Linked DNA regions of Nothobranchius furzeri. The protein of the gene in region 2 binds, or shares a complex with, the protein of the main gene of each other region. Links are inferred from orthologs where the notes say so. Each region holds a gene or a part of one and is shown on either strand. Other genes may lie near its edges.

Region 1 (3,540 bases), on a different chromosome or scaffold from region 2:
TGGTATCGAATGCTTATTATTTACTATTTAAAAAATGAAAGTGATGGGGAATTATTTTAACCCTTTCTGTTTAGCTTGACATCTGATATATATATATATATGGTCGGGACATAGAAGGGGGTGCACGGCTAAATAAGTTTGGGAACCACTGGTTTAGGTCATACTTTTGTAACAGGTCTGCTAGGGTCATGTTGGATGGCTGTTCATCCGAGTCACAGCCTCTACGTTGGGGTGTCCCACAAGGTTCAATTCTCGGCCCGTTACTGTTCAACCTCTATATACTGCCCTTAGGAGCCATTTTCAGAAAGCACGCTGTCTCATACCATCTTTACGCTGATGACTGTCAAATCTATTTTTCATTTAAGCCAACTCAATCAACGAAAGTTCTGTCTGATTGTATCCTTGAGGTCAAGCAATGGCTAGCTGATAACTTCCTCCATCTCAATGACTCCAAAACTGACTTAATCGTTTTCAGTCCTAACAGTACCACGGTGACTCATCAACCTGACCTCAACTATCTCTCACCTAATGTATCCTCTGTAATCTCCAACCTTGGAGTAAAAATGGACCAGGCTCTGAAGATGGATGTCCAGGTCAATAACACAGTTAAATCATGTTTTTTCCAACTAAGACGCATCTCAAAACTAAAGCACATCCTGAGTGTCGGTCTTCTGAAATCTGTGGTCCACACTTTCATCACCTCTAGGCTGGATTACTCTAACTCCTGCTTATACGGCATCAGTAAAGCAGCTCTCTCTAGACTTCAACTGGTCCAGAATTCAGCAGCTAGGTTGCTGACTGGAGCTGACAGAAGACAACACATTTCTCCAATTCTGAAATCTCTCCACTGGTTGCCCGTGCAGTTCAGGATAAACTTCAAAATTATGCTTCTGACTTACAAATCCTTGAACCATCAAGCTCCTCCATATCTGTGTGAACTTGTCCATTACTACAACTCGCCGCATGCTCTCAGGTCTGAAGATAAGCTCCTCCTAGCTGTTCCGAATGCTCGTTTACAAAGCCGTGGAGAAAGGGCTTTCTCTGTCTGTGCACCGAAGCTGTGGAACGCATTACCACTGCTAGTGAGGCTAGCACCAACAGCTAGCATTTTTAAATCACGCCTGAAAACTCACTACTTCAACCTAGCTTATACCACATAATTATGAACCTCACTTACATCTGCATTGTTTAAAAATGGACTTCACAATATCAACTTCCATACTATATTGAGGTTCTTTTTTAAATGTTTTTCTAATTTTTATTCACCCTGTGTCTTATTGATTTTTAGCTGTTAGCTTTTGGGAATTTTGTTGTATTTCCTTTTTATCTTTTATCTGTGTTCGACATGTTTGTATACCGCCGGTTTGATTAACTAACATTTTTAGTGTACAGCGCCTTGTTTGGTTGTAATGCCTTGTGAATGCGCTTTATAAATAAAATTGGATTGGATTGGATTGGAGATCTAACTGAAACTAAAAAGCTTTTGATGCCTAAATATTGTCCCTAACCTCCAGACGGTGTATAACTGTGATGACAGAGTTTGAAATAAATGAATGTAAAGCATCTTCTGGGTCATAATTGTTATGTGAGGGGTTATTAAATAACAAAACATCTGCTTTACAGCAGCTCGTCAAATCTGTGTTCGATCCTGTCGAGCTCCAGATGTGATGGCTAGAGTGTACTGAAGCTTTTTCTCACCTCGTCTTCTCCCATCTCCTTCATGATAGCAGTCAGATCTTTCCCCTCAAACTCCTTCTGCAGCAGCTGCAGCTGTAGCTCGCACTGGGCCAGAAGCTCCAGCACAGCCTCCTCGGAGTCTGGCTGCTGCGCAGTAACTCTGCCCGCGCTCTGGAACGGGAACGGTGACAGAAAGACTGCAGGTATGCTGTGTGTGCGAGCGTGAGCAGGTGTCTTACCAGAGTGATGTGCTGCAGTTTCTCTGCCAGGTGCTCCACTCCTGCTGTAACGGTACTGAGGGTTGTTGTGAGCCAGTCCAGCCGCTCCCTGGCAGAGTCACACCTCTGCTGGTGAGCCTGAAGCTGAAGCTCGGCCTCCTCCAGCTTCTGCTGCTCACTAATGAAAGCACAAAGACAAAAAAAGGAGAGTCTAAAACAACCCTTAGGACACACGGGTTCCTTCAACCAGAGAAACAAAAACAGCTGGTCAGGGTTCTCATAGGGTCAACGTGAGTCTCACCATGACAGCTTAGCATCTCCAGAATACTCCTCCTCTTCAAACCGCTGGATCAGAAGCTCCCTCTGCTCCTTCAGCTGCAGCAGGGCCTCCTCGTTCTCTTTCTTCAGCTTCTCCAGATGTTCATGCATCTCCTTTTGTGAGGTGAAGCGCTTCACTATCTCCTAAACAAACAACCAGAGAAATGATCCCAGCTTCAGCGTGAGGTGTTTTTAGATGAGAAGAAGGTGAAATCTGCTCCCTACTGAAGATCAGATCTCAGGTACCTGCACGTCCGTGGCTCCGGTGGTCTCCTTGATGCGTTCGAAGGCCTCCTCCAGAGCAGAAAAGGCCTTCTCCTCCTCAGCGGGGATCCTAGTGGTGCTGTGCTGGGCCTCGCTGCTCAGCTCATCTGGCTGCAGAGGTGTTCTCTTCACCTGCAGGCCACCCGTTTTAAATGTCAGCACGTGTTTACAACCAGTGTCAGAGCTGAATCCCATCCTAACTTACTGAATTCCACATTTTATGAGACCATGGACAGAATTAGACATCTAAAAGCAGCGATCATCTTACACTTCTTTCAGTTTTTCCAGTCTCTGCCTTGTGCTCTTCAACTATTTTCCTGTAACTTGTTATTGCTCTCTCCCTCTCCTTACGCTCTCTGGACAGCAGTTCGTCCTGCTGCTGGAACGCGGCCTGGTGGAAAGACAGGGGGACAGAATGAGACATGCAAAGCTTCACCAGGATGCTTGTGCAAAGCGAAGAGAGGGAAAACGCTGATCACCTTTGCAGCTTCTTCAGAGAGCTGAGCGTCGTCCCTCATGACCTGCAGGCTGTGAAGCTCCTTTCTGTACTTCAGGATTTCTGCTTCCAAGCTGTCCAGCTGGCCCTGGAAGGTCAGACTCTCATCCTGCAGCAAAAGGATGCCAATTCTGGGTCAGCACATCGTAGACGTAGATTTCAGTGGTTCATTTTTATTTTTAAATGTATATTCTTTGATTTTCCATCGAATTTAAAAGGTATTTGGTGTGTACTAGTTTTAATAACACTAGATTTAATGAGCATGTTTCTTTTGTTGTACCCATGTTTCAAAGAGATGGGAAGACTTGCCTTTAGTGTTAAAGCCCCACTGGACTGGAATAATTTACCTGTCGAAATATGATCAATTACTTCTTTTCGATTCTTTGGAACACTGTTTAAAGAGCAAGTCGCCCCCAAATCAACTTTTTTCCTGATAAACGATATAAATGCGTGTCTAATCGTGCTGCAGACACGTGTAGTCAATAGTTTTGCACTTTAGTAGCCTGGTGAACTAGACCAAATTCTTGCTTTGCAAAGAATAATACATTTATTTAGTCTGGCTTGCCA
Region 2 (4,323 bases):
GGCTTCCTCGGCCGCAGCAAGGCAGCGGATCCCGTAGTGTTTGGCTTCTTCATACTGCTTCATGTTCAGGGAGCTGGAGCCGATGTTGTGAAACAACCAGGCCTTTTCCAACCCGTCATCAACCAAAGGAATCATCTGTTCCCAGCTGGAGAACAAAGAACATGAAACAGAGTTTTAAGGCTGGTCAGAAAGCTTACGGAGATTCTTTGATTGACTTACAACTCAACGGCTTGTGCAAACTGTCCGGTCTGAGCCAACGTTACACCCATGTTGTTCAAAGCCCTGGACGTGGCTTCTGGAAGTTTGCTGATGATGAAAACGATAACTCAGCATTTGGACTAAATCATGCTTTTGTGCTCATTTTTTCTGCATTCTCACCACCGCTCAGCCAACTGGAGGTCTGTCCGATGGTGCTCCAGTGCTTCGTCCATATCTCCCAGGATGAAGAAAGCTCTGCCAATGTAGCTATGCAGGCTGCCCAGGAGCTCGTATTTATTAGGAATGTCCTCAGTGGTCCAAGTTTGAACCACACTCATGGCTCGTTTTGCCTTCTTCAGACTAGCCTCTGCATTACCACGAGTCAGCTCTGAAGATACAAAAGAAAGGTTAAGAAATAAAAAATGAAAGCAGAGAGCCGACAGGAGCGCGTCCTACCGTTGTCGATCTCATTCAGGCTTTTCAGCACAAACTGAGCCTGCTCAGAAGGTCCACGCCGTTTCTGCTGCTGAGGGGCGACGGGCTTCTCCAGACTCCACAACTTAGCACAAGTATCAAGAGATGTGAGGCAGTCTTGAATGATGTCCTGCAGTCGTTCGCCATGAATCGTCTCACTCCCAACCAATTCTGCAGCGCATTAGATGACCACAACATAAACAATTCATCGAAAGTGAAATAAAAGCCACAGCGGACCGACGTTGAGTCTCATTAAAGGCTTAATACCTTCATCTTTCATCAGATCCTCAAGGAATTTCTTGTCATGGTAAAACTTTCCCAGAAGCGCTTTGTTGGTCTTGTCAGTCTTTGGAGTCTGATTATTTTTCTTCTTGATCAGAACAAAGGCAAAGGAAGGAATGACGGGTTTAACAATGCTCTTAGGAAAACCTGCTATGGCTGTTTCTATATGTGCAAAGAAACCAGTTAGTCAGTGCTGCACAAGGCCCGTGTTCACTAAGAAGCACGGCCTTTTTACGCCAGGTTTCTGAATTTTATTGTCGACTTTCATCTAAATAGTTTAGATTTTTCATGGTTTTTGCACTTTAAGTTCACTTTATTTATTTATTTATTTTGGTCATTTAAAAGGAAAAAGAAAGAACACAGTAATGCAGAATCTCAATTATAGTAACCAAAAAGGTGTAGGCTGAAGCCTAGCTTTTATGCCTATTTACTCAACTACATTACTTCTCAAAAAAAAAAGAAAAGAAATGACAATAAGAAGATAAATGTAATGTAATAATAAAAATGAGAGTGAGATAAAAAAAAGTAATTATGATATTAATAATTGAAATATATTGAGCAACAGCAACCATAATTCAGCAAGAGGAAAAATACCCAGAACTAAAGACAGAACTACAAAACTACCAGTAATATATATATATATATATATATATATTTGGTGTGGGAATAAGGAAAATGTAGAACTCACCCTCTCATCTTTATACAGGAAGGAAAGGTCTTTTTCAGATCCTGTAGGCAGAGAAGATCAAACAATTCAGAGTTTTTATTTTAAAAAAAATGTTATTTCTTACCAGGTTAATAAAAAAAGCTGGGTGAGGTGAACCTCTAAACAACGGAGTCCCTTTGATGCTAATGTTGAATGTTTATCCATGTGTGTGTGTGTGTGTGTGGGGGGGGGGGGTTAATTGGATGGATGAATAATTAGTGTTGAAACATCCCATTTTTATTTACATTTCAGTTTTTAGATGTAACTTTGTAAGTTTGATTCTTAAAATATTTGACATTATTTGGATTTGTCGTTCAGTCATAAATAAACTTGTAGGAAAAAGTGACTTTTTAAATCATTATGAATAGTTTAATAAAATAAATATGGAAAATAATGCTATTTTCCCTTTATTATATCATTATGCAATCTGCACTGAGCCCAGAGAACACCTCCACACAGATGACCCACCAGCCGTATCCTCTATCGCCTGCTGTGCGCACTGCGCGCCGAGCCTGAACTTCTGCATATGAGGCTGGAGCTTCAGTCCTCTGCTGTGAAACACCAACGCCTGTTCAACGTTGCCCGTGTGATATAGAGCCTCTGCCTTCAGGTACAGTCCCTGGAAACAAGCAGGAACAAATCCAGCGTTTCAGCTCAGGGGACAGTACCACGAAGGAGAAAGTTGTCTCACCTCTATGAAAGACTTGTCGTCTTTGAGCGTCTCTTCAACATCTGTGAAGACGTTTTCAAACCTACCCATCTTCATGTAGCATTTAGCCCGTCCGATGAGGCATTTCTTATCCCCTGGCCTCAAATTCAGCGCCTGAACGACCAGATTAGGGTTGTTTCAGTCAAGAGTAGCAAACGAGCGCCACGCTAGTAAACGTCACTCACCGCCGTGAAGCTGTTAGCAGCTTGATGGTACTCTCCTTTGTTGAACATCCACTTCCCTTCGGACAAGAAAGTCAGGAACAAATCCTGAGGATTCTTGTTAGATGCCTTTGACATTTTAGCCCACTAAAGGTTTGCCAAGACGAGCTCAGTCCACAGCAACTTTAGCTTCCGCTGGATGGTAACCTAGCAACCGCGACGCCTGACGGACTGCAATGAAGATAAGGGGCATGCGCAGTCCAGAGGCGCCCCCAGAAAATGACCGCGGATAAATAAAGGTGGCCAGATGTGCCAAGGGAAATGTTGGGGTAGCATCATGTTTAGCCTGTGGTGATGCATTGCTCTTTATCCCCCCCCCCCCCCCCCCCTTAATTAAAAACATGTATTCAACTCAAATGTGAGAAACACAAACATTTCAGTTATTTGAAATGTTATTCCAAAATTTTAGAATTTCATTTTGTGGTTTAATGGTTAGGTATTGCTGTCTTCACCGAAAACTATGGAGATATAAACTTATTTTTTATGGTGAGCAGCAGAAACAATCTTTTAAATTCTGATTTTACTCATTAATTGTATAATTTGATTTTACATTTATGTCTTGAATAAAATTAATTTATGGTTTGAGTGAGCATTTACTCATTCGCTGCCAGCTTTTTCCTGACAAGAAAAGCCCTTCGCTGCCAGAATTTTTCAGCGTTTTTGGTTTATTTAAGAGTCACAGAACGTTGCGCGCCAGGATGATGTCAGCGCCAAAACTAACAAAACAAAGAGGAGACTCACCTCTTACATAAAGATCTGCGCCTTTCGAGCGTTATCCGTTCTTTCATTATCCGTTGTTGAATTGTGATCGGCAGAAGCTTTTCCGGTTCGTGCCTCACTTTTTTTTACAGCAGCGCCCCAAAACGATCTCCTAACACATGGATGTTCTGCTTCCTGATCACGTGACGCATGACGTACGCGGATGAAGATCAGCTTTAGAGTTGAAATGTTTGCTCTCACGGTGCGGGGGCTCGTTACGACGCCCACACAGTAAAAAAAAATGCAAATGTGACTTTAGTCATCATTGGCAATTAAAGAGTTGATATTATTTATTAACAAAGATCTTGGGGGGGGGGGGGGGGGGGGCGCGCACCAATTCTCTAGGATTGGCCATGGCCACCCTTAGGGGACGCCACTACATGCAGGTTTAAACTGGTTTCGCTGTAGTCGAAACAACCATTTCGGGACAAACTCGCAGTTTGTAAATGTGCTAGTGGCTTCACACACGCACAACTCTTTTTACCAGCTTTCATGCTTTTTACAGAACCAACTATCCTGTCCATTTGTTAATAGTCTTAAACCATATTGGAATGTCAATAAAAACACAGAAACTTACCATGGAAACCAGAGATGGCCAACTTTATTGACACAGCTGGAACGTTTTAGATAGTGGGGGCTAAAACTGAGGGCAAATGAGGACATAATTCTTTTCTTCACCAGGAAGTAACTGAAAATTTCGAGGTTTCCGTCCTTCCACAGAGCACGGCTGACCAAGGCAGCAGCCAACACAGAACATTATGATCTTACTCCTGTTCTCTTGTCCATCTACAGATCTGAGTGATATTGGGTGCCCTGAATCAGTCTGCAAACAAGCAGCATAAAACAGTAATGATGAACCAGTAAATCAATCTTCTTCCTGCAATTTGACTTAAAAAAAGGGCTCAATATCAGATCATTTTCAGACACACCTTTATCTTACATTGGTTTCATATGACGGCAAACTTTCAATAAAT
Region 3 (4,178 bases), on a different chromosome or scaffold from region 2:
TGGTGATGTTAAATAGTTGTACGTTGGTTCATCAGTGTACAAACCACCCCCACAATCTGTGACCCCAAACAGGGGTTACAGATTGAAAAAGACTCTTGAAATATACTTAAAATACTCTAAGTTTTATTTAGTGAGATTTCTGCTGTTGTTGTTGGCTATTTCAGACTAGTCGAACCTCAAGAACATGAAAAAATTGTAGTAGTTCAAATTAAGGTAAAACAACATTAACAAATTTATTAAAACAAAAAACTAAAGATGAACATTTTAAAAACTAGAAATGAAAATTAGGTTGCTACTAGGGCTGGGCGATGTGGCCTAAAATTAATATCACGATATATTGAGGATTTCACCTTGATAACGATAAATGGACGATAACTACAGGTATGCGGCTATGCGCAGAAACAAAAGTTGTCCACTAGATGGGGCTGTCACGTGTATTAGTTGAGTCGCAGTTTTACGTGACTCAAGGTGGTACAGCTTAGCCTGGCAAGCCAGACTAAATAAATGACTAAATGAATGTCTTCTGATCATAAGATCAGAAGGTTAAATTCGTGTAGGAACGAAGGTTATTCCAGGCGCTTCTGAAAAGCCCGCTGTTGGAACTTCCTGGTTGTCTGAAAGGTAAGAAAGCAGACTGTAAATTACACAGTTTAAGTTGCTGATTCTGAAGCAGTAAGCAGCCTCTAACTTGTGATCACCATGGTGTCTGGAAGGCAGGGTCCAAAGGCCTCAAGCAGCAAATTCTCCTTTTTTACGGCTGCTTCAAACTCCTCCAAAGACACGAGTCCATCTTTATTAGTGTCCTGTGGGTGAGAGGATGCAAGAATTATTTTAGCTCCTAACTAATGAGAGCACGTTGAAACTAACAGATGTTGAACATCTCTTACCATCCTCTTCATCGGGATCTCCACGAGAAATTTTACTGCTTCCTCAAGGTTCTCCTCTGGGGGCAGTCCAGGGAGGGTGTCCTTCAGGAAGTAGAACATTTCCTCTCTGCTCATTTCCCCATCCTCGTTCAGATCGTACACAGAAAATGCATCTGAATGAAAAAAGAATCAGGCTGTGAGTCTAGATTTGAGTTTGTGGGCGTGGGTTAGAGAGACGGGGGGAGCTTACACTTTATTTTTTCTTCCAAGGTCCCACGAAGAAACACTGTCATTCCCTTCAGCCACTCTTCCAAACTGAGGAAGCCGTCTCTGTCTTTGTCAAAAACCCTGAAAACTGAAAACACTCTAAAAACACAGTTTTCTAAAAAATACTTACCCTTTAGTACTAAAGAGTTAAATTTTCTAATACTCGTTAAAATTACCAACAGTTATAAAAAAACCTGCTCTTTTTAATTCTGTGTTTTCAATTTGATTCGTGTTAAAACATCTGCTGCAAAGTCACTTCAATAAATGTGTCTTTAGCAGGTTTTTGTCTGTCTGTTTGTTTTACAATAAAGTTTTGCGTTAGCCATTGTCTCAGGATAAATGTGTTTTAAACAGGCTGCAAAATATATCAGATTTATTTATCCATTATAGATTATTGCCAAGTTTTCAATTTAAAGTAGTTCAGATCTTTAGAGGAGGATTTCTGTCGAACAGTTCCAAACAAAAAAAATGACTCACCTGTTGGTCTGAATGACATTTCATTAACATTGTAAACGGTCATGTTAGCACATATGAAAAACGTGCATAGTATGGCTTAAAGTGTGCAGTTTGCATATATTGGTGAATATTGAACAACTTTGTTGCCAAAAGTAGTCGTGGACTTGGTAAAAGTTGTGTGACTCATAAGAATGCTAATTTGGTGTCCCCTAGTCATGTGGTTAGCACATCTGAAAACTGTCTTGCAAAAATGTGTCTTACTAAAAAAACAAATAAAATTTCACCAGCCACCACTGTTTAAGACAGCAGAAACAAATTGGAACTGGTCCCAGTCAGAATGATCTTTGTAGAATCAAAACTGGTCTCTGTTTCTCCTAACCGAGGCTGTTCAAAGAGCTACAAGTATCAACTAAAAGGAAAAATGTCACAGAAATGTCAAAATGTCCTGTTAATCTCACATACACCTGTCAGTTGAACACAAAGGTCTTTTCAGATTATAACTTTAACCCTAACAGAACAAATGGGTCCAATCCTATTTAATAATAACCTAATTCAACATTCAAATAAAATGTCTGACCAGTTTCAATTAAAACATTTACCAAATAAAAATGTGTTGGGAATAATTAAAAGGCAGTCTAAGGATAAATAGACAGCATCCCTTTTGAAAAGGGACTGCATTCTGGAATGATACCTACTTCCATCTGTCATCTTCTCCTTGGACAACCTAAACATGTCGTGGAGGTAGACTTTGAACTTCAATCGGTCCACTCCGTGTTCCTCTGTGCCCGGCTTAACCTTCTGCCCTAGAAGCTCATAAAACTCCAGGATCAGGCTCTCCGTCTCCTTCTTCTTGACTAGCAAACACAGATAATCCTTGTTTACGTTGTGTAGCTGCTAGCTAGCTGCCACTAGCTTCTTCCGTCAACAAACCGAAACAGCGGGGTCAAAAGAAGTTTAAAAAAGTTCTACTCACAGTGTTTATCCTTTTCAGTGATTGTTTTTGCTAATTCACGAATCCTTCTCTTGTTCATAGCAGTCAAGTCCATGTTGGAGGAGAGAGTTCGTCACGTGCTCCGAGATAAACTACAAAGGTGATGCATCGACATATATAGTGATGGAGGTGATGGAGCGTTTCTATGGTAACATCAACACAGCAGCTCTCGTACAATCACAGTTGTTTGTACGTCCTTTATTTTACCAGGTAAAATGTTCGAGTATCATTGCAAACATAAGCTGGCCGAGATGTCTCGCAGGTAATTCAAAAGAAAATCACACTTGAGCAAATAAAAGGAAATAAAACTAATGACAAAGCATATGAGAATAAATAAAAACATAATAAATAGAATAAAAGGCAGGCATTAGAGAATTCTTAATCAACAACTGGAGAATGTTTGCAGGATTAGACATGCAAACAAGAAAACTGTAGGCTCGCCCCCAAGAGATGGCAAAACACAAATTACCGGTACATAACCCGGGGACCATTTAGTTCTATTGCTTTGAAAATTATTAGTTTAGCTTATGTTATCATTTATTTATTTGCAAGAACTTCTTGATTTTTTTTCTTTTCTTTTTTATGTTTCATGCTTTTCAAGTTCTCTTTCTTTTTTATTTTTTCACTTTTACTTCTCTGAATTAAAATCATTAAGTGTCTTGCAGAGAATATATTTTAGCTGTTTTGTGGTTTCTGTTTGGTTGCGTGCATGTGTGTGTGTGTATACCGTATATACGTCGATGGTGCATACAGTGTTCAGCATAAATGAGTACCCCAAGTTCATTTGTCAGAAAACCTTTAGATTCCTTTCAGAATCAAAATTTTCTATGAGATACCATACCACAAAGTAATGTGGGCCATTGATTGCAAACAAGATTTGTTCATTTGCTCACACAAAAACGTGATTTTCCTAACAAATTCATTCAGGCCTATGTTGCAAAAATGAGCACCTCAATTATAGTCTTCAGAGAAAAGCCACACTTAAGAGTACAAAATTTAAATTAACAGGCATTAAATCACAGGTGAGTCTAATGATTCATTTAAGAGGTGTCCAGCAGACAGGTGACTATAAAAAGGCTGGCAGCAGTAACAAAAAAGTGCTACTGATTAAATTCACACTTTTATAAGGAGTGTACTCATTTATGCTGAGCACTATATATATGTGAGTGTGTGTGTGGCTGGTGAGAAGGATGTTTGGACTTCTCTGCCCTGGCTGCCATGATCAGATAAGCTGAAGATAGCGTTGGTGTGTGAATCACACAAATGCCTGCAAATGCTCCCTGAGAAATGTGTGGCTCTACGTCATGTTCAATGGCTGTATTCCAGCAACAATCGGCAAAAACATTTCTGTTTGCAAACCTCTTCGAGACAGACTGCCTTTGTCTTGTTTCTGCTGCAGTTAGGTGTGGGTTTGGGTCAGTACCTCAGACAAGACACAGCAGGATGCTCCAGCAAACATCTTCTGACATAGAGCTGTGCTTTCTCTTCGTGACAAGTCAGCAGATGAGGGAGACTTTTTGTTTCTGTCACAGTTAAGCATGAACTATCTTGGCTCAAGGGCCGGTTGTGGTGCAGAGCAAGATGTGCCTTTGAACAAG

Evidence for each region.
Region 1: odad4 (region 2) and odad3 share a complex: the UniProt entries of both Homo sapiens proteins name them as parts of the outer dynein arm-docking complex. The link is inferred for Nothobranchius furzeri from reciprocal best matches to the Homo sapiens genes ODAD4 and ODAD3.
Region 3: odad4 (region 2) and clxn share a complex: the UniProt entries of both Homo sapiens proteins name them as parts of the outer dynein arm-docking complex. The link is inferred for Nothobranchius furzeri from reciprocal best matches to the Homo sapiens genes ODAD4 and CLXN.

What each region holds. Positions count from the first base shown.
Region 1 is NC_091746.1:25,114,281-25,117,820, forward strand, and holds part of odad3 (coiled-coil domain-containing protein 151), read right to left. Parts: intron 3,083-3,540; coding exon 2,957-3,082; intron 2,869-2,956; coding exon 2,746-2,868; intron 2,610-2,745; coding exon 2,460-2,609; intron 2,358-2,459; coding exon 2,197-2,357; intron 2,074-2,196; coding exon 1,917-2,073; intron 1,849-1,916; coding exon 1,699-1,848; intron 1-1,698. UniProt on the Homo sapiens protein: Component of the outer dynein arm-docking complex (ODA-DC) that mediates outer dynein arms (ODA) binding onto the doublet microtubule. Involved in mediating assembly of both ODAs and their axonemal docking complex onto ciliary microtubules.
Region 2 is NC_091745.1:16,041,450-16,045,772, forward strand, and holds the start of odad4 (outer dynein arm-docking complex subunit 4), read right to left. Parts: upstream 2,834-4,323; 5' UTR 2,669-2,833; coding exon 2,555-2,668; intron 2,484-2,554; coding exon 2,352-2,483; intron 2,280-2,351; coding exon 2,129-2,279; intron 1,684-2,128; coding exon 1,643-1,683; intron 1,043-1,642; coding exon 940-1,042; intron 844-939; coding exon 655-843; intron 587-654; coding exon 379-586; intron 307-378; coding exon 220-306; intron 146-219; coding exon 1-145. UniProt on the Homo sapiens protein: Component of the outer dynein arm-docking complex (ODA-DC) that mediates outer dynein arms (ODA) binding onto the doublet microtubule. Plays an essential role for the assembly of ODA-DC and for the docking of ODA in ciliary axoneme.
Region 3 is NC_091743.1:68,489,204-68,493,381, forward strand, and holds clxn (calaxin), read right to left. Parts: upstream 2,821-4,178; 5' UTR 2,636-2,820; coding exon 2,563-2,635; intron 2,444-2,562; coding exon 2,285-2,443; intron 1,222-2,284; coding exon 1,117-1,221; intron 1,040-1,116; coding exon 888-1,039; intron 804-887; coding exon 699-803; intron 615-698; coding exon 567-614; 3' UTR 336-566; downstream 1-335. UniProt on the Homo sapiens protein: Component of the outer dynein arm-docking complex (ODA-DC) that mediates outer dynein arms (ODA) binding onto the doublet microtubule. Seems to regulate the assembly of both ODAs and their axonemal docking complex onto ciliary microtubules.